4 linked regions of the Saccharomyces cerevisiae S288C genome follow. The protein of the gene in region 1 binds, or shares a complex with, the protein of each later gene. Each region holds a gene or a part of one and is shown in the gene's direction. Other genes may lie near its edges.

Evidence for each region.
Region 2: MRPL3 (region 1) and MRPL28 share a complex: the UniProt entries of both Saccharomyces cerevisiae proteins name them as parts of the mitochondrial large ribosomal subunit.
Region 3: MRPL3 (region 1) and MRPL15 share a complex: the UniProt entries of both Saccharomyces cerevisiae proteins name them as parts of the mitochondrial large ribosomal subunit.
Region 4: MRPL3 (region 1) and MRPL38 share a complex: the UniProt entries of both Saccharomyces cerevisiae proteins name them as parts of the mitochondrial large ribosomal subunit.

Annotation. Positions count from the first base shown.
Region 1 is NC_001145.3:319,980-325,892, forward strand, and holds MRPL3 (mitochondrial 54S ribosomal protein mL44 MRPL3), read left to right. Parts: upstream 1-1,895; coding exon 1,896-3,068; downstream 3,069-5,913. Other genes in the region: MSS1 (Mss1p), read right to left, coding at 1-1,038; CSI1 (Csi1p), read left to right, coding at 3,321-4,208; PEX12 (ubiquitin-protein ligase peroxin 12), read right to left, coding at 4,257-5,456; YMR027W (putative methyltransferase), read left to right, coding at 5,898-5,913. UniProt on the Saccharomyces cerevisiae protein: Component of the mitochondrial ribosome (mitoribosome), a dedicated translation machinery responsible for the synthesis of mitochondrial genome-encoded proteins, including at least some of the essential transmembrane subunits of the mitochondrial respiratory chain.
Region 2 is NC_001136.10:1,383,254-1,388,308, forward strand, and holds MRPL28 (mitochondrial 54S ribosomal protein mL40 MRPL28), read left to right. Parts: upstream 1-2,819; coding exon 2,820-3,263; downstream 3,264-5,055. Other genes in the region: palmitoyltransferase PFA5, read right to left, coding at 1-190; TFIIH/NER complex subunit TFB3, read left to right, coding at 558-1,523; MFA1 (mating pheromone a), read left to right, coding at 1,923-2,033; CMI8 (Cmi8p), read right to left, coding at 2,271-2,513; STP1 (Stp1p), read left to right, coding at 3,563-5,055. UniProt on the Saccharomyces cerevisiae protein: Component of the mitochondrial ribosome (mitoribosome), a dedicated translation machinery responsible for the synthesis of mitochondrial genome-encoded proteins, including at least some of the essential transmembrane subunits of the mitochondrial respiratory chain.
Region 3 is NC_001144.5:756,138-761,624, forward strand, and holds MRPL15 (mitochondrial 54S ribosomal protein mL57 MRPL15), read left to right. Parts: upstream 1-3,342; coding exon 3,343-4,104; downstream 4,105-5,487. Other genes in the region: Ras family guanine nucleotide exchange factor CDC25, read right to left, coding at 1-856; ATG39 (Atg39p), read right to left, coding at 1,500-2,696; SPH1 (Sph1p), read right to left, coding at 4,613-5,487. UniProt on the Saccharomyces cerevisiae protein: Component of the mitochondrial ribosome (mitoribosome), a dedicated translation machinery responsible for the synthesis of mitochondrial genome-encoded proteins, including at least some of the essential transmembrane subunits of the mitochondrial respiratory chain.
Region 4 is NC_001143.9:127,833-133,003, forward strand, and holds MRPL38 (mitochondrial 54S ribosomal protein uL14m MRPL38), read left to right. Parts: upstream 1-2,801; coding exon 2,802-3,218; downstream 3,219-5,171. Other genes in the region: protein kinase NNK1, read left to right, coding at 1-2,429; putative serine/threonine protein kinase KKQ8, read right to left, coding at 3,456-5,171. UniProt on the Saccharomyces cerevisiae protein: Component of the mitochondrial ribosome (mitoribosome), a dedicated translation machinery responsible for the synthesis of mitochondrial genome-encoded proteins, including at least some of the essential transmembrane subunits of the mitochondrial respiratory chain.

The DNA of each region.
Region 1 (5,913 bases):
ATCTATACCCAGCATTTCTATCTTGTCAGAACTCTTTTCTCTTATACCTGCCGTATCACAGATAATAACCTTATAGCCATTCACGTTTATCATTGCATCAATAGAATCCCTAGTAGTGCCAGGTATATCACTGACAATTGATATATCATCGTTAGTCAAGCTGTTAACTAATGATGACTTACCGACATTGGGAGCACCAAGTAATACCAGCTTTATTCCATTTTGCAGTATGGTAGACTTTTCGACTTTTTGCATGAAAGTAACGATTTGGTCTCGCAGACATATGATGTTCTTTTCTACATTATGGAAAATCTCATCCGTATTCTGAATTTCTTGGCTATTATCGTCGGCAAAATCTATTATAGCAGTCAACTGTGCCATATTCTCGATAATGGTTTCCCTCCAGTTCTCAAATAGGATTTTGTTATCCCCATTGAAACTTGACAAGGCAGATCTCCTTTGAGATTCTGTTTCCGAATCAATAAGATCTTTGATACCTTCAAGTTGGGTAAGGTCAAACTTTCCATTTTGAAACGCCCTCCTGGAGAAGTCGCCAGGCAAGGCAAATCTTATATCTTTACCACTGCTTCTATCGTGTAACGAGCCGATAGCTTTCAGTATACTATTAACTACGGCTTTCCCGCCGTGAACGTGCAGCTCTAACACATCCTCACCAGTAAATGAATAAGGAGCTTGGAAATATAGCAACAACGATGTGTCTAATAATATTTTACTTTCCTTTTGATCATGAGGTTTCACACTACAAGAGGACGGCGAATAAATGTTCCTCAAAATAGCCTTCCTGATCGGCGGAACTGTACTTGAATCAACTAGTCGATTGTAAATGTACTTAGCATGGGTACCAGATATTCTTATGATTGCTATCGCAGAGGTTTGATTTGCTGGTGTAGATAATGCATATATGGTTGGTTGCTGGAAGGTATAAGGCTTTGCAAGTCCGGAGTACCTCTTTAACGACCTTCTTACGAGAAAGGATCTCGAAATAAGCCGTGATTGTAAGAAAGATGCACTATTCATAAATAGAATACTTATTAACCATATATAACATTCTCTAAGTAGATAGCAGTCGTATGGAATATTGCTGTATCTTCATGTAACCTCGTAAAAGACGTTATATATGGGTTAGTTAGCCAAAAAAATAAAAAATGGACGAGTCCGGAATCGAACCGGAGACCTCTCCCATGCTAAGGGAGCGCGCTACCGACTACGCCACACGCCCGATTTGTATTGAAGACTTTGAAGAAGTATAGAAAACATAAATGTAGGATACATTTTTAAACTTTTATTAATGAAACCAATTTGAAGACATGTGGCAACCCGTGTTACTCATATATATATATATATATATATACAACTATCAGAAGATTATCAATCTAATAGATCTTTAACGCCGCCTCAGTACTTTCTGAACTGCAAGTAGAATATTTTTTTCTGGAATCGGCACATTCACATTCAGACGTATACGATGTCAGCACTTAGATTGCTACTATAGCAACTCATTTATTATTAATCCCCATTCGTTCCGATATGGATGGCATATTATTACCTTTAAGAAAGGTGGAGTTCCAAAGATTCATCAATTTTACTGTTTATAGAAAACGTTACGGAAAGATGAAAAGTAAACACCAAGGTCTCTTATGCCTTGACATAAAGAATACGGAATAGAATGATTGTAGACGCAACAAGATGAATAATTAATGGCAAATTATTATCCTATTAGATATAAATTACAGTCGCTTTAATGCGTGATTATAGAAAAGGTCCTTACAATATGCAGCCGGGTAAAGAGTGAAGTTTCCCGCCTCTGAAAAAGAGCAATACTAAAATAATCTGAAAAGAATTGGTGAAAAGAAAGCTGTAGTTATATATACAGAATGGGCATAGTTTTGAAAAGAGCAATAGCAGCAGGTATGAAACCTTTTCCAAACAGTACGTGGCATTGGAGCCGAACCATAAGACCTTTCTCACAGCATTTGTCTAGCACATGCTTTCTGCAGCAATCCTCGAGATTTACTTCAAAACGATACCTACACCTTTCAACATTAACACAACAAGAAAAGCGCTTCCTACCCGAATCTGAACTTGCTAAATATAAGGAATACTACCAGGGTTTGAAGAGCACTGTAAATGAAATACCTGAATCAGTGGCCTCTAAGTCACCTTCGTTAAGAACGCTTCATAAGAGATTACAATTACCTAATGAGTTGACCTATTCAACACTTTCCAGATGCTTAACGTGTCCCTCTGCAAAACTACCCGACAAGATAAATAATCCTACAAAAGGTGCAGCTTTCGTTAATACTGTACCTACTAATAAATACTTGGACAACCACGGTTTAAACATCATGGGAAAGAACTTGCTCTCTTACCACGTTACAAAATCCATTATACAGAAATATCCGAGACTACCCACTGTGGTTTTGAATGCTGCGGTTAACGCATATATATCAGAGGCGGTACTGGCGCACATTGCTAAATACTGGGGTATTGAAGTAGAAACTACGTCTGTTTTATCACGCTATTTGAAAATGGAACCATTCGAATTCACTTTGGGAAGACTCAAATTCTTTAATAATTCATTGAACTCTAAGGACGGTATTGAGCTAATCACCGGAAAGAACTTTTCAGAAACAAGCGCTCTTGCAATGAGCGTGAGGAGTATAATAGCTGCCATCTGGGCAGTAACGGAGCAAAAAGATTCTCAAGCTGTTTACAGATTTATTGATGATCATATAATGAGCAGGAAATTGGATATCACGAAAATGTTCCAGTTTGAACAACCTACAAGAGAATTGGCTATGCTATGTCGTAGAGAGGGGCTGGAGAAACCTGTATCGAAACTGGTCGCTGAGTCTGGTAGACTATCGAAATCACCTGTCTTTATTGTGCATGTATTTTCAGGCGAAGAGACATTAGGTGAAGGTTATGGTTCCTCATTAAAGGAGGCAAAAGCAAGAGCCGCTACTGATGCTTTGATGAAATGGTATTGCTACGAGCCTCTTGCTCAACAGGAACCAGTTATTGATCCTGGCACTGTTGTTGTTTAGTTCTGTGTTTGCCATTTTGTAGATAGAGAACTCCTTAACCAGAATACATTCTTGTACATATATATATACACGTTGGTACGATATGCGTTTACTTTATGTGTACTAAAATATATAAAAGTGAACAGAAGCATGTTCCTTGTTTACTACTATATCTTACCAGGAAACAGACAAAAAAAAAAAAGACTTGCTATATTTAAAGAGAACGCACATTTGTGAGGGGATAATAACACAAAGCAAAGTAATATAGGGTAAATGGACCTCCTAAAATTCAGTTCTCTAGCTATATCAGAAATTAACTTCCTGCACGAGTCATCGTTTGACTCGATAGACCACTCTTGGTTTTTATTGATAGGTTGCAAATTGGATCAAGATGATGAAATTTACATCCCAATAAATGGTAATGAAGCAGAGTCTCAATGGTATATTGAAAAAGTTATACGAATCCCGATGCAGGAAAATGATAAAATAAATCAAGAACGCCTAGAAAGGAGAATTAACCTAACAAAAGTGACTCAAAAGGACATTTGTATACTGGGTATTCTTGATTTATGTCAGTTAGAAGAGGACGAAAATATCACTAATAAAGTGACGGAGAAAGTGCTCACCCAATTGACCGCCTTGGCATTGAAATATCTGATAAAATATAACGTGTTTCGCCAACATACCTCCTTCCAAGAAGCTGTCAATAGTTTAAAGGGTTATAAAATTGAAAATAGTGTACAGATAGGCGCGGAAATTATCCTTGATTTTCTACAAGATAAAGTGCAAATTAAGGATGTAAATGACAGATACCAAATTCCCACACCTAATAATACCGTAGACCCAGGTTTTGATGAGTTTCAATTAATTGACATGAAGGATAAAGAAATCAATATTCAAAAATATAATAATAATACCATAAGAAAATTACTCGAGAAGATTAATCGAATGATAATATTCTTGAAAAATTATGATGCCACTGACAAGCCTTTCTCTTCCACGCAAGATGTAATACTTCGAAAAATATCAATGCTTGTAACACAACTGCAAAGAGGTGGAACAAGTGACATGAATTACCTGCTGGATAACAAAATTAATGAAATAAAATTATTAGAAATTTCGTGTAAACAATGGGAAATTTCAAATATGTTAAAAAAATAACTAGAATATATATATTACACAGAATTATTTTCTTCACTTCCTCCGTCATCAGATTAGTAGCTTCCTAATACCTGTCACAACTTCCCATTTATTCGTGTGTTTGTTGTATGTACAACCCAGCAGCTTTTTATTGGTAACGGGACAATGGCCTTCATTATTAACCAAATAGCTTATGGCACACGGGTAGCATGCCACGTATCCTGTTTCCAATACACAGGGGTTTTGTACAGTTTTTTCGCAAACGGGACAGGCCTCAGAAACTCCCTCTTTATCTTCCGTTTTGTCACTATGTGAGGAGAAAGGCGGCCTTGGAATATCTTCATCCAAGTCATTGACCCTTTTCTGCAATTTAGTAGTCATGTCTTGTGTGGTCCACCATTGGTACACTCTTAGGACAAATATAAAAGTGGGGAAGAATTGCGAACCCATAAATGTTAAAAATCTGGGTATAATCGATAATTGTCCTTGCATTAGCGCGAAAATTGACGATATATTTGTTTTCCTTAGCCTATTATCCATCCCTTTCGTCTCTTTGAGACCAGAGAGTTCTGACGATAGTGGTCTTACCGTTGTGTACTCTATCTTGAATAAGTATTGCAACAAGGAAACCGACCCTGTTCTTTTAGTTAAAAATAATAATTTAACGAGTAAATTGGATAACGCTAATAATTTCTTAATAAATGGATAAATTCTTAGAAACGCTCTCTTGGGCCATTTATTTTCAGTTTCATCGCTGCTGAATATATTATTCATTGATATTTTCTCTAATATTTCATCCAACTTCGCTGTGATATAGGGGAGAATAATTTTTTCCAAAAAAATAACACTCTTTTGCTGTTGATTCAGCTGCAAACCTTGGGGCCATTCACTCTGGCCCTTTGGATTTAAACATTGTGTTAAGGCAAGATTTCTGTCCCTCGAACTAAATAGTTGCAATCCATAAAACCGATCAATAAACGTAGAATTGTATGTCTTTAGATGATACCATTCAACAAACCCTTTTATCGCTTGAAACCACTCAAAAAAGTACTTGTTCAGCCGCAAAGTATACCTGTTAGGGAAGTTCGCCACTAAATGATTTGCCAGTAGATAACGGATGGATGCGGGCAGTAACGAATCGATTTCTTGTGATGACATTATCTCAAAGATAGTCGGATACAATGGTTCTAATCCCACCCCATTTCGACCGCTTGTTGAAGACCCTCGACTAGATTGTCCTGCAGACGGTAGGTTTGAATAAAAGCTCATCACTTGACGACTACCTTCCTTTCCTTTGCTTTATTTTCCCTGCTTATTCCCTTGCTTCTTCTGGAGCCTTCATGCAAAACCGTTTCTCTACCTAATGTGATTCTGCGGTAAGCATTGCTCTTAAGCATCTGAATGAGACGAAAGGATGACTCCACACTAAATTGTACCTCTCTTCTCCAGTGACTGAATTGGAGGTTACCATTGCCAGTGACGGTAATCGTCCACATCGATGATTTCTTAGTATAACCCACACACCTCTCAGACATAGAGGCCCCAGGTGCAACGTGATAGTATAACTGCCCGGAAGTAGAAATACAACTATTCCCTTCATATTAAAAGAATAAAACTTCATTTGAACTCTTTAAAATTTAGTGGTTCATTGTGGTCCTTGTGTAAACGGAAAAAAAGGATATTACGGTAGTGGGTAGTACATAACAAGAGATGACTATCCCTGGAA
Region 2 (5,055 bases), on another chromosome or scaffold:
CTAGGAAGCATACCGCACAAATAAGACCAACCGAAACTGATTTCTGACGAAGTCGTTTGTCGACTTGCTCGTAACATAGTTTATGGCAGTAAGCCCACGTACCGTAGCACAGTAAACCGAGCACGATAATCGGTAAGATGAATCTAAACCATGACCTGCGCCTGATTCGAATATTCCATGATAGAGCCATTCATATACAACGGTTTAATTTCTGCCGTGTCGCGATGAAAGGACCTTAGCTAGGTTCTGAAAATATTACAACGGGCAGATATACGCCTAATTAGTTGTTTTGTTTGAGTGCTGTGTTTATGCTACTATTATTTAAAACGTAAATAGTGGAAAAAAAAATCGACTAAATGGTCCAAATCGGGCCGTTCGCTCGTAAATTTGTTCTTAAGCACTAATACTAAAGAGAGTATACAACAGAACAGACGCACAAGACAGCACTCATCATCAGCTAAGAAACTGAACTGCTTGTTAAAATTTGAGTTTGTTTCCTCTTAGGATTTGCAGCATTAGTGGGCCCCCGCACACAAGTAAATATAAGTGAAAGAAAAATGCTTATGGATGAGTATGAGGAAAACAAGGACATGTGTCCGATCTGTAAGACAGATCGATACCTTTCTCCGGATGTGAAATTTTTGGTGAATCCTGAATGCTATCACAGGATCTGTGAGTCGTGTGTTGATCGAATATTTAGTCTCGGTCCTGCCCAGTGTCCATATAAAGGGTGTGACAAGATTCTTAGAAAGAATAAGTTCAAGACCCAAATATTCGATGATGTGGAAGTTGAGAAAGAAGTTGACATCAGGAAGAGAGTGTTCAATGTGTTCAACAAAACTATCGATGACTTCAATGGTGACCTTGTGGAATATAACAAATATTTGGAAGAGGTGGAAGACATTATATACAAACTAGATCACGGGATCGATGTGGCTAAGACCGAGGAGAAACTACGCACCTACGAGGAATTAAACAAGCAACTGATTATGAATAACTTGGAGAGAAGCAGAACAGAGATAGAAAGTTTCGAACAGAGACAAAAATTCGAAAAGGAGATGAAATTGAAGAAGCGACTGTTGGAAAGACAAATCGAAGAGGAGGAAAGAATGAACAAAGAGTGGACAAAGAAAGAAATCGTCAACCGGTTGAGTACGACCACCCAGGATATCAATGAAACAATCGAAGGCGTTAAAAATACGGTTAAATTGAAAAAATCGTCCGCTAGAAGGAAATTGGAAGAACTAAATAGAGTTCTGAAAAACAATCCATATTTCAATTCAAATGTGAACGTACAGAATTCGAGACTCAAAGATGCTGTACCGTTCACGCCGTTTAACGGTGATAGAGAAGCACACCCAAGGTTTACGTTGAAAGGTTCAGTATACAATGACCCATTCATCAAAGATCTTGAGCACAGGAAAGAATTTATTGCGTCTGGGTTCAACACTAATTATGCGTACGAAAGGGTGTTGACAGAGGCATTTATGGGCTTAGGATGTGTTATATCCGAGGAGCTTTAAAACATCAGGATAGTGTGCAACGTGGCATAAGCTATGTAATCAACTACTTTTTATTTTCTATGTACGCATATACATGCATTCACGATCTGTTTCAGTGTTCAGAAAAAAGGCACCTACTGCTACGGTTGGCCCATACCTTTATTCTTTGTTCTTGTTACAAACGAGTGTGTAATTACCCAAAAAGGAAATTTACATGTTAAATGAAACCCAGTAATCAGAAAAAACAGTTAAGAAACCTAAAATGGTAGAGATAAAGATACAGATTCAGTGGTTGCTGAAAATCAAGTAAAAAAATGAAATAGAGTCTTCATATATAAACCGCCAGAAATGAATTAATGAGAGGGATCTGTAACTGTTTCTCGGATAAAACCAAAATAAGTACAAAGCCATCGAATAGAAATGCAACCATCTACCGCTACCGCCGCTCCAAAAGAAAAGACCAGCAGTGAAAAGAAGGACAACTATATTATCAAAGGTGTCTTCTGGGACCCAGCATGTGTTATTGCTTAGTTTCTGCGTACAAAAACGTTGTTCTCCCTCCTTTATCTTCCTTTTCCGCTACACCAATATATCATGTTTGTTCGTAATATTTCTTTTTAGACCTAATAATAAATATCCTAAGTAACTATATTATATAAAATATTTTGATACCCTGTACCTGCTTTTGTTATCGTTGTACATCCATGCACACGCTCATATATATATATATATATATATATATGTATATGTACATATACCGCTTACCACCTACCGTGAAGTATATGTAAGGGTCTTCGCACCCGGATATCCCTTGTGGGATCTTGGATGCGGATGGTGAGTGTAAACAGGCCTCATAAAGCTGTCTCTGTGTGCGGAAGATGTCGTTTCATCGGCTTCGACCTCCTCCTTATCTTGCTTCATTGTTTCTTCGTAAGAGGGCGGATCTACGGGCAGCGGGGTCGCTGTCTCCTTGTATGCATGCTTATTTATATCACTCTTTCCGCTATCCATCATAATCTGTTTTTGTTTATGTGCTTTGAATACTCAACACATAAAATAATATCCAGTTAATTGTCGTCTGTCCATTGACGCTTTGCCTTTGTCCCTTTAGACTGTCTTTATTGTGAAATATGCACGGCTGAGAATTACGTATACAGTGACTATCGTATGGGGCGACAAAAGTTCCCAGCGAGAAACAAGATGAAGCAGACTGGGGCCTGCCTGTATGGAGGGAAGCATAAGTTAATATACCTCCAGATATTTGCAGATTAGGATACTGAACTGACGAAGACCTACGCTACACAACGAAGATAACACATGCTGGCACAAACATTCAAAAAACCACACAGAGCCGTTCTAGAACAGGTATCTGGGACCACGGTCTTCATCAGAAATAAGAGAACAAAGAGCAAGAGCTCACTGTCACCTTTGGCACAAAGGGTCGTCACGCAGTTGAGTGTGATGTCTGCAAGCAGAAAGCAGCCCAAGTTGCTGAAGCTGGCGCGTGAAGACCTGATTAAACATCAGACCATTGAGAAGTGTTGGTCAATTTATCAGCAGCAACAACGGGAGCGCAGAAATTTACAGTTGGAATTACAATATAAGAGCATTGAGAGATCTATGAACCTTCTACAAGAACTCAGCCCTCGTCTGTTTGAGGCTGCCAATGCTTCCGAGAAGGGCAAGCGATTCCCGATGGAAATGAAGGTGCCCACTGACTTCCCCCCAAATACGTTATGGCATTATAACTTCCGAAAATGATAGCGTGAGCGAACGCTTGACTGTCTCCTGCTGTAAATAACTGATGATCAATAGAATGCCACGTATATATGGACTTATATAATTATATGTACATAGACATATAAAGGGCATGTGGTAATTATGACATGAACTGTATCACTATTGACGTTTTTTTTACTGCTTTTTCCCATCCCTGCAAGCGAAAAAAAAAGCAAGCTGACTCTTGTATAAACTGCAAGGACTCATTGATTAAAAGTAGATTTACATTACAGACTAAAGGAAAAGGCAAACTATACCGGCTATACCACATTCGTTCAAAAATGCCCTCTACCACGCTACTGTTTCCGCAGAAACATATTAGGGCCATTCCAGGCAAGATATACGCGTTCTTCAGAGAGCTCGTCAGCGGAGTTATTATATCCAAGCCAGATCTAAGTCATCATTATTCTTGTGAAAATGCGACAAAGGAGGAAGGCAAAGATGCAGCAGATGAAGAAAAGACTACCACAAGTTTGTTTCCCGAATCAAATAATATAGACCGTTCTTTAAATGGTGGCTGCTCTGTGATCCCTTGCTCCATGGATGTCAGCGATTTGAACACGCCAATATCGATCACACTATCTCCTGAGAATCGTATCAAATCAGAAGTAAATGCCAAGTCACTGCTCGGATCAAGGCCAGAACAAGATACAGGCGCCCCTATCAAAATGTCTACTGGTGTCACAAGCTCTCCATTAAGTCCATCAGGCTCCACCCCAGAACATTCCACCAAGGTCTTGAACAACGGCGAAGAGGAGTTCATTTGTCACTACTGTGACGCTACTTTCAGGATTAGAGGATATCTAACGAGACATATTAAGAAGCACGCCATCGAAAAGGCGTATCACTGTCCATTTTTTAACAGTGCCACTCCTCCTGATCTTAGATGCCACAATTCGGGTGGTTTTAGCAGACGCGATACTTATAAAACTCATTTGAAGGCAAGGCACGTGCTGTACCCCAAAGGTGTTAAACCACAAGACCGTAACAAGTCGTCCGGCCATTGCGCTCAATGTGGTGAATACTTTTCCACCATTGAAAATTTCGTTGAGAATCACATTGAGTCTGGGGACTGTAAAGCTTTACCGCAGGGGTATACCAAGAAAAATGAAAAAAGATCTGGAAAATTAAGGAAGATCAAGACATCTAATGGTCATTCTAGATTCATATCCACTTCGCAAAGTGTTGTAGAACCTAAAGTACTTTTCAACAAGGATGCCGTAGAGGCTATGACCATAGTGGCTAATAACAGTTCGGGCAATGATATTATATCCAAGTACGGAAACAACAAATTAATGTTAAACTCGGAAAACTTTAAAGTCGACATACCCAAGAGAAAGAGAAAATATATCAAGAAAAAGCAGCAACAGGTATCTGGATCGACGGTAACCACACCAGAGGTAGCTACACAAAACAATCAAGAAGTGGCACCTGATGAAATCTCATCCGCCACAATTTTTTCACCTTTTGATACTCATCTACTCGAGCCCGTCCCTTCTAGTTCATCGGAATCTTCCGCTGAAGTTATGTTCCATGGCAAGCAAATGAAGAATTTTTTGATTGACATAAACAGCTTCACAAATCAACAGCAGCAGGCACAAGATAATCCTTCGTTCCTGCCACTCGATATTGAACAATCTTCATATGATTTGAGCGAAGACGCAATGTCATATCCCATCATATCCACACAAAGCAACCGTGATTGCACGCAGTATGATAACACAAAAATCTCACAAATCTTACAATCACAACTAAATCCAGAATATCTCAGCGA
Region 3 (5,487 bases), on another chromosome or scaffold:
GTATACCATTAATAATCATTTCTATCTCTTCCAACGGTAATATCTTAATTGTTTCTTCTGCTACTAGTGGGGGACCTGCTTTCTCACCAGAAGTTTGTAAATTTGTTTCATTGTTATTCATAATTGCGTTTGTATTCATCTCAGATGAGCCATCTGCACTCTTTGTCATATCCTGGGATAGACTAGCATTGGAATTAAAGTTCGAAGATTGAGGGGTTATGTGGGAAGCATCGTTTGGCGCTGAAAAGGGAGAATTATTCATCGATACGGTGTTATTGTGGCCGGAACTTGTTTCTGCATTGTGGGCATTTGATAAAGACGCTGATAAAGTAGAACTCCCCCTCCTGCTCTTGCTCGGATTTCTAGGCACATGTAAATATGCACTATTGCCCAAGCTATTTAAGCTGCTGCGCCTTGAGCTCTTACTGGAACTATATTTTTTCATCGGATGACTGTGCTTTCTGAGATGACTGTCTCTTAAAGGTCTACCGAAGTTTTGAGGAAACCAGCCTCTGTTAACTTTCCCATTACTGTCGTCAATAACTAATCCATCCCACCACCCAGATGAGTTTTTGTTAAGTATATAAATGGTTTCCCCTTGTTGTACAGACAAAAGTTGCGAAGAACTGTCTTTTTTAATGGGATAATTAAAGTCATAAGCAGCGACTACTATTCCAATTGGACGAATGCTGGTCAACTCACTTGTCGAGGGGGAAGAAGAAAGAGAAGCTGAGGATGATTCTGTGTTAGTGGTAGTGGAAGTGTTAGATGAAGAGCTGATCGATGGAGTTTGTGAAGCATTGCCTGCCTCCCTTGCAGAACTTGTATTGGGAATAGACGTGTTAGTATCGGACATGATACAACTATCCAATATCCACCTTGCTTTTTCGTTTTATTTTTTAGTATTTATTCGAAGAAAAATGTGGCTCTTTTTATTCAATTTCTTTCCGAAAAAGAAACAGTCTATCTAACTAAAGGAATTGCTTCACGGTGATCAAGTCACTATAACTGTCTCCGCCGTGTTGGTGATGCAGTTTTCTCTGTAACTTTTGAGCTTATTTTTCTATTTTATTTTTTCCTCCAGGTCTCTGTCAAAGATCCGTCTCCCGCGATGTTTAAAAGTCGTTTTAGCGAATTACATAATAACCTGGAGGTGACTGACGTCGACTATTTTCTGCCCCATAAAGCAACAAAATATTTAACTCATAAAAGCTTCGAAGAATATGTAAATATAGTAGTATGAATCTAACTGAGTAAAAAAAGGGAATAACAAAACAAAAAAAAAGGAAAAGAGATGGATAGCATACGTTATGAAAGTAATAAAACCTTAGAGATAGAGATAGAGAGAGAGAGAGAGAGAGATGCACCTTTTCTATTCTCAATAAAAAAAGGAAAGTAAGTGTAAAAAAATTTAAAGGAGGGATATATGACACTCCTACTAAGCAGTCGTTTTTTTTTTCTTTTGTTAATTTCATTCTTCATGCTGGGTTTTGGATGATCTAGTGTTTGCACTTAAAATAATTTTTTTTCCTGCATTCTGACATCGCTTTATACATCCTCGAATGCTGTAATTTCAATCCGAACCGTTTCAGCTGCTTTACAAACCAGTTGGTATCTTTGCGAACCTTAAACTGAAAAACTCGGAATGGTTTCATTGACTTGAAACGAAGCTTGCGCAACTGCAATCTGGATCCCGACCAACATTGTTTTGCTTTTTGGCAAGAATGATCGAAATACCTTTTAATATGTGGAGAAAATTGCCTGTATTTATTATGAAGTAGCACAAAGAGCCTTTTCCAGCGGCGTTTCTGTTCTTTATGCAATACCCTTAAACTTTCTTGAGCGGATTTAAAAGAATTCTTGAGAAATAGGTGTAACTTTATTCTTCCTCCGTTTATTTTGTTAATTCTCTTGTGCCAACCGTCTTTCATTCGAGCTTTTGTTGTATACCATAAAATAACTAAGTCTGTTTTGTATCGTCTCCAGCCCATTAGGTCATCATCCTTTAATGGGTATGCAATATGATTGTCGAAGTCGACGTAGTATTTTCCTGAAGGAGCCCACTGACTTAAAGAGTCACTTGATGAATCGTAAGATTTTTTATCAACAAAATCGATATTGCCGTACAACAGCTTCCTTTCATTATTACGTAATGACTGTTGTGATTTAAAACCTGCCAACACATCACCAGTCAGGGAATATTCGAGGGCGAGGTATGAAAAGGTCATGGAAAGCAATGAAGATAGCATGATAACATGCCACATCTTCAATTTAGCAGATTTACCCTCACTTTTATCTATGATATGATCCGATAGTGTGCTAGAATTCCTTATCGTACTATCCTTCAGTTTCGACCCCTCCATACTTGGCAATACCGTTCCGCCAACATTTGAGCCGGACAAAGTATCAAATGACTCTGAAATAGTGGGAACTCCAGTTTGATCAATATTAACTCCAGCATTACTAAATTCATTAGATGTTCTAAAATCGTAAATACGATTCATCTGTGCAGACTCTTCACTGCTAGTGTTCGATAGGACATCTGCATCGAAGTCCTCGTCGTCCTCTCCTGCAAAGGAGCTTTCATGCAAACTATCCAAAGATATTTCTGACTTCGATGACTGTTCTTCCCCTTCTCTCCCTTTACGTAATCTACGTAATCTAACTAAATTCCAATGATCGTCTTCTTCTGACATTTTAGGTCCGACAACTCGACTGTTTTACTAGTCTCTATTATCGTCACTGCGTATTACTCTGCTACTGTGCTTGTTACTTTATACCGGAACAGTAGCTCCTAAACGATTATTCCAAATGAAGAAAAACGTTTGGCCAGTAACCTGCATAAAACTGAATAACTATAATGATACTCCGACTAATAATATATCCCAATGCCCCATCTCATCTGTGTAGATCAATTTTTATGGCTCGATCCAGGTACCTTGATAAGCAGCTGTCGCGCAAAGGGGTTACCGCAAAATGGATAGATGGACCGGGGGCACACCGGGGTAGGGGGTCCGGAGGGTTAACTGTCAACTCCACCCATACAAGACCGCGCAGAAATCGTCGCAGGACCCCGCCGAACGGCGAAAGCAAATATGCAGCCGTAAAGACCTAACAATAAACCTAATGTAGTCATAGGGCTAATTGATTTTAAATATATGACCTAGCTGACTATTCAAGTTTGCCCTAATTGATGAGTTTTTGAAAAAAAAAACAACTTAGGTTTCGCTATCCAAGCTTATGCTATGGGAAGCGTTGGAAAACTTGCATATAGTATGAACAAGAGCGAGATATAAAACTATAACGGTAGATGGAAAGTAAAGAGTAGACAAGCTCGGAAACATGGAAAATAGCATGATGTTTATATCGCGTTCCTTGCGGAGACCCGTTACTGCTTTGAACTGCAATTTACAAAGCGTTAGAACAGTCATATACCTTCATAAGGGTCCGAGAATTAATGGTTTGAGACGAGATCCAGAGTCGTACTTGAGAAATCCTAGCGGGGTACTCTTTACTGAAGTTAACGCAAAAGAGTGTCAAGACAAAGTTAGATCCATACTACAATTGCCCAAGTACGGAATAAATTTATCAAACGAACTGATTTTGCAGTGTTTAACACATAAGTCGTTCGCACACGGGTCAAAGCCATACAACGAAAAACTGAATCTGCTAGGAGCACAGTTTTTGAAACTACAGACGTGCATTCATTCGTTAAAGAATGGTTCGCCGGCCGAGAGTTGCGAGAACGGGCAACTTTCTTTGCAGTTCAGCAATCTGGGAACAAAATTCGCTAAGGAATTAACGTCCAAAAACACAGCATGCACATTCGTTAAATTACATAATCTAGACCCTTTCATATTTTGGAAGATGAGAGACCCAATAAAAGATGGCCACATAAATGGTGAAACCACGATTTTTGCTAGTGTCTTGAACGCATTTATTGGTGCAATTCTGTCAACGAATGGATCTGAAAAAGCAGCTAAATTTATCCAAGGAAGTTTGCTGGATAAAGAAGATCTTCATTCCTTGGTTAACATTGCTAATGAAAATGTAGCATCTGCAAAGGCAAAAATATCCGACAAGGAAAATAAAGCATTTCTGTGAAGATACAAAAAATATAGTTGATGGTTCACTGGCCAAAAATGTATAAAAGAAAAATTTATCTGTAAATAGTGATCGAAATAAAATAAGATAATAACTAAAGAATATATATGACTTTACTGTACAGATCTATAATTGAAAAATGACGAGAGGTCCTGTGAAAGAGTCTGCCTGTTCGCCATCTTCACACATTCAACCAATTCCCTGGTGCGCTTGGTTACTTCCATCAGGATATCTGCTAATTTTTGATAGAATCGTTTCTTCCCAAGCTTTGTGGAATCGCATCCATAAGTACACAATTCCGATAACTTTTGCGAGCAATCTGTGAGCCTTTCAATAATTTCTTTACAGTGCTCGCCTAAATCCAGTTTAAAACTTTTTTGGACCATTGCTTTGGTAGTCATATCAATCACCGATTCCAAAATAGGAATAATCTCGATGGAATTTTGACATAATCTCGAAACTGATCTTGCGGACTTGAACAATTTTGATTTAGAGGCTTGAACATCATTCAAAATGCCCTGCCTGCCATAGGAAGAACAACCATTGATTTACTCTCAACAAATTCGACGAGGTTATTTATGTTAGCGTTGTGCGTGGTTGAGTTGACATCAGAATTATTCAAGTTTTCTTCTGAAGTAGATATTCTTAATCCAAGACCAGAGTTGGGAGCAAATTTCTGCACTTTCTCTCTGAATTTCCTCATTTTGGTCACGGTTGGCGAGTAAAGTACGTCTGCAGCTGGCGGAATATTTGCATACGGCTTCGCCGTTTCTGCCACTGGTTTAGTGATAACTTTCTTCGGAGGTGATGCCTGATAATCCTGCCGAAATTTACCAATTAGCGGCAATGTGTTACCTTGAGGACTTGGACTTCTCGAGTTCGAGACAACTTTCAGAGGCAAACCTTCTCGCGGAGATGGCTCACTCGTAATTCTTGAAGAATTCTTAGTGTTTTTTAACGGCGACACAGACGCTAAGTTTGTTTCTCCAGATGTATTATTTCGTACCTTCCCACTCTCTCGAATAGAAGATTCAGATTTTTCTATGATGGAAATTGATGGCGATGCTACAACCACTGGCATGTCCGATTTTTTTGTAATGGGCTTACCAGAGGATGGAAAACTAACAGCAGTACTACCGCTATCACCCAGAGATGATATATCCTTACCGTTTTTCTCATTTTTCACTTTTTCAATAATCTTCAACGGTTTCATACCTGCCTCGATATCACTGAGTTCTCCTTCATTGCGTGATATATCATCACGTGAGGTGGATTTGATCTTCACAATCTGAGCAATATTGCAGAACGCAAAAATCACTTCCGAAATAGATGATTGAGCTACAATTCGTGGTATTAGGTCCCCATATGTGAGAAAATATCTTG
Region 4 (5,171 bases), on another chromosome or scaffold:
CGTGTGGCAATCAATCTTTATACACTATAGGGGCGGAGTACGTTCCAGATTTAGACTTTACAAAGCTAGTGAATGAGTGGCAAAAGTCCACCGAGGATTTGTATGAGTTCAGAAGCAGTGCCACTCCGCAGGTACAAATCAAAGACAGTGGAAAGGGAAACTACGAACTTTGGAGCTCACCGGATGCAATATTGACTCAAAACAAACTTCGAAGAGATAGTTTTTCGCAAGAGAACAGTGATTCGTTAAGTCCAGAAGATTCTATTTTATCAAGAAATTTGCATTCTAAGGTCAAACCCATCCCTCTGCCCAGAAACAGCCAGCAAATATTTACACCCCTGTCCAACTTAGAAGCGGAAAGGAGATCCTCATATACAACTAGTAGCAACAACAATAGCATAACACAGAATAATAAATTCTCTTTTGCGAAGTTAAAGTATTCACTTCCAACTCAAAGTTCTGCAGTTCCTGCGTCGTTCGATTCAAATGCTTCGTCACTAAATTTTCTTCCGACTACTACATTATCGACCTTATCAGAGCTACAAATAAGCCCCAACGATATGATGGATTTGATTCAGAAGCTTCCCAGAAATTTTTTGAACTTGCCGTATACTCAAAGGAAAAAGGTGATTATCGAGCATGCACCATCTCATGACTACAAGGCCATGATGTCCCTAGTTAAGAAGTTTATGTTAACATCTTCTAGAAGTAACTTTTCTCTCGCTGGGTTTGCCAATAATGCTTCAGTTTCGCAGGCCACGGCTAATGATGATAACATCAATAGTAGGAACACGCCCAATAATAGCAATGACACCTACGTAAATACGCGTCCACTTCAAAGATCTAGGCACGGTTCCATTGCATCCCAATTTTTAAGTTCTTTTTCACCTTCGATGACGTCAATAGCTAAAATGAATTCGAACCCATTGAGTGGAAGCGCAGGTGGCAGTGCGAGACCAGACGATAAGGGTATGGAAATACTAGGTCATCGGTTGGGTAAAATCATAGGTTTCGGCGCATGGGGGATCATACGGGAATGCTTTGATATTGAAACTGGTGTTGGTAGAGTGATAAAAATTGTGAAGTTCAAAGGACACCAAAATATCAAGAAACATGTGCTGAGAGAAGTAGCCATATGGAGGACTTTGAAGCATAACAGAATACTCCCCCTTTTAGATTGGAAGCTTGATGACAACTATGCAATGTATTGTTTAACGGAAAGAATTAACGATGGTACCTTATACGACTTGGTAATATCTTGGGACGAATTCAAACGTTCGAAGATACCATTTGCAGAGAGATGCAGATTGACCATTTTTTTAAGCTTACAACTATTATCTGCATTAAAGTACATGCATTCCAAAACGATTGTTCATGGTGACATCAAATTAGAAAACTGTCTGTTACAAAAAGAAGGTAAAAAATCGGATTGGAAGGTTTTCCTATGCGATTTTGGAATGAGTTGCCACTTCGATGAGAAGCATGTTTATCGTAACGATACTTTTGATGAAAACTTGAGTAGTGGCAACAGCCATAGAAAGAGAAAAAGTATTGAACAAACTAATTTGATAAAGTATCCCACAACCAATTTTTTACCTGACGACCGAACTAATGATTTTGACGCTAGTGAAAACTTAAAATACCAATTTGAAAATCGAAAGCATCAACCGTTTACACCAAAAGGAATGGTTAGCTCCAGTTCACATTCATTAAAGCATCTCAATCAACCATCCTCTTCTTCTTCTTCTAATCTATTTCACAAGCCAGCCTCTCAACCTCAACCACAGCATCGGAGTCCCTTTCATGGGAGGCACAAGACAACCGATTTTTCAAACCTGGAACCCGAACCTTCTAAATATATCGGATCTCTGCCTTACGCTTCGCCAGAACTTCTAAGATACTCAGATGCAAGACGTTCAAAATCAGTTGAAATGCATATTTATGATTCACCAGACTCCTCTCAATCGGAAATTAGCGCAGCATCATCATCTTCCTCTAATTTATCTTCTCTATCATCCTCTACAAAGGCGTCCGCAGTCACGAATTCCGGTGTAACTACAAGTTCACCGTCTGGTTCATCGACTGATTTTCCATGTATTGTTTCTCCTTTAGGACCAGCATCCGATATTTGGGCCTTGGGAGTAATGCTATATACAATGTTAGTAGGAAAATTACCCTTTAATCATGAGTTCGAACCTAGGTTACGCTCTCTGATTAAAGTAGGCGAATTTGACCGATTTTCTTTAGCTCAGGTCTGTAAATTTGACAGGAAAAAAAATGAAGGAACGATTGGTCAAGGCTTGTATGACACAGTCATTGGATGTTTGACGATTGACTTGGATAAGAGGTGGAAATTGAAAAGGATTGAAGAAGTCCTTCAAAACGAAATGAACCTAAGCGAGGCCATTCACGATAATAATGGCTCATGACTTATGATTAATGATATTGATTGCATTGAAAAAATACATACATTGTGCTTACTTTTTTTTCTCCCATTTTATAAATTATAACGAACTTCATAATTACTATTACGAAATATGTAAATAAGTATTTTTATCGCATATTTGATGCCTCTATCACTTATTTGGCGCTATTCATTGCGACTCGTGCAACGTGCGAAAACTCAGAATATTTTTTTGAACAGCCTTAAATCATGTTGCTAAATGACGGATGGAAGAAAAGGGACCTATAGAAGAGTTCGGATAAATTGTGAAGCGTGGATATTGGCATAGCGGATTTGTAGAACGGTGTGTCGTCAACCCTTTGAGATCTGGATAAGCCATATTTTCTAACATCACAACATGATATTTCTAAAATCTGTCATCAAGGTAATCGACAATTCAGGTGCACAATTAGCAGAATGTATTAAAGTAATAAGGAAAGGGTCCCCCAAGAGTCCTGCAATGGTTGGAGACAGAATAGTCTGTGTTATACAGAAAGCAAAGCCCTTGACTCAAAACATTACGGGGACAGCCAACACCAACCGTGTCAAAAAAGGTGATATTTGTCACGCAATTGTCGTAAGGTCTAAACAGCGTAACATGTGCAGAAAGGATGGCTCCACCGTTGCATTCGGAGATACTGCTTGCGTTTTGATTAATAAAAATACCGGTGAACCTCTGGGGACAAGAATTATGGCTAATGATGGTTGTGTAGATAGAACACTGAAAGACAAGGGATACAATAAGATATGCTCTTTGGCAAGTAGGGTCATATAAGAATAAAAGTACCCCCATTTTCCATTCATTAACGTTATAATCAAGGGACTGTAAACCAGCAAAAGAGCTTTGTCGTCATTATTTAATTAACCACCTGTATATATTGCTTAAATTTTAATGTATGACTTTAACTTTGAAAACGCATGAACGTGCTGCTGACGTTCTACTCATTGGAGTTGTATTCTTTTTCTTGTCTTATTCTATAATTGCATGCCGTGAATATTGTATACAAGATATTTATGTGGAATCATATATTAGGCAGCAATTCGTACTTTTCATCCACTGCATATCTAAAAGTTTGCCAACAGAAATCCTTTTTCTTGGTTCCCATTGAAAGATGCGATATAATGCGATTTTTCTATTTGTGGCCAACTCTGAGTTTACGTGCTTTAATTCTTCGAATACCCTAAACTGGTTTTTACGCTGCATTTCCTTGTAAAATTCATCATAAGACATATCTTTTTCTCTCGAAGCTACTTTCCAAAGATAATGCCCCAATATCATTGTTATATAAACAACGCCACAACTCCAACAGTCAATCAGTCTTGGATCGTAATACTCCCCATCAACAAACTCTTCTGGAGCTACGTAAGGCTCTGATCCAATTATACCCTTTTGAGCATGAACCCTCCTTTCCCAAGCGGTTTGAAATACAGAACTTGTACCGAAGTCACATATTTTCAATAGACCATGCGGATAAAAGAGAATATTTTCAGGTTTTAAATCACAATGAGCGATACCATGATCATGCATGAACTTAACACCATGAAGCAGTTGCTTCATGAAACAATCGGCTTCTAACGGATGTAATCGGCCCTTTAATTTCGACTTACCGACCAGCATACCATAAAGGTCACCAGCAGGGCAAAATTCCATTACTTCAATAAACGAAGAACTGTCTTCTAGAATATCAAATACGTTTAGAATATTGGGGGCTGGTTTTTTACCATTTTTGTGGTAGTGGCTCAAGGAATGCCCAATAATAAACTCAGAGGTGATCTTTGTACAGAACTTCTCTAAATCACTGTCTGGTTTGGGTTTCAATTCTTTCACAGCATAGTATATGTATTTGCTATCATGATATGTTTCAAATGGGGGGGAGTCCTTTTCATTCCGTAGTCTGGCACACAGCTTAACTTCACCGTAAGCTCCAGCGCCAACGAGACCAACAGGATGGCCATAATTATCTTGAAAAGTAGGTGCTTGCTCGCCGATACACTCAGCCGGTTTTAGATTTTTTTCTTGCAAATAATTTTGTAAACTTTTATGAATTCTGCTTGATAATGAATTAATCAACTTCAACTCATCACTGCCCAATGATGCGTCGGGATTCACTATTTTTAGATAATCTTCCCTTCCTTGCGTGGGCGAGCTGCGGTTGCTATCGTTAGGACTTTGACCGGTTCTTTTCTCATGGTTTGTCTGAGATTTTTCTACGTTTGGCAGAAGAGATAAAGCGTTTTCAATATCGCATTCATTTTTATGATGTTTGAATAGACCAGAAAGAGTAATACCTAATCTTGGTCTAGATAATGATCCCTGTCGATGTGCCGGTAAGGAGTTACCTTTCTCTAATTTCGCAATTACCCCTGATAACTTTATATTATGTTCATGACTTCCGTCTTCGTAAACTTTGAAGCCATTTTGCTCAATTATACATTGCACATCTGCTCCTGCAAATCGAGGCAAGCTCTCCAAACTTTCTTCATCTGGATGTGACCTCCTGGTGTATAACCTTTCATTATAGAATTGCTTGGAGGGGAGAGGATTTGGATATGATGTTGCTCTGCGTAAAGCCTTCTTATTGTAGTCATCTATGTAATTATACGGCGCCCGGTCTTTACTTTTCAGTATATCTTTGTTCGAGCCACGATAAGGTGTGAGGTCATTGTCTGAATCATCTAGTAAAGAATCCATAGCCCATTGACTGTCTGATGAACTTGTCGTTCCATT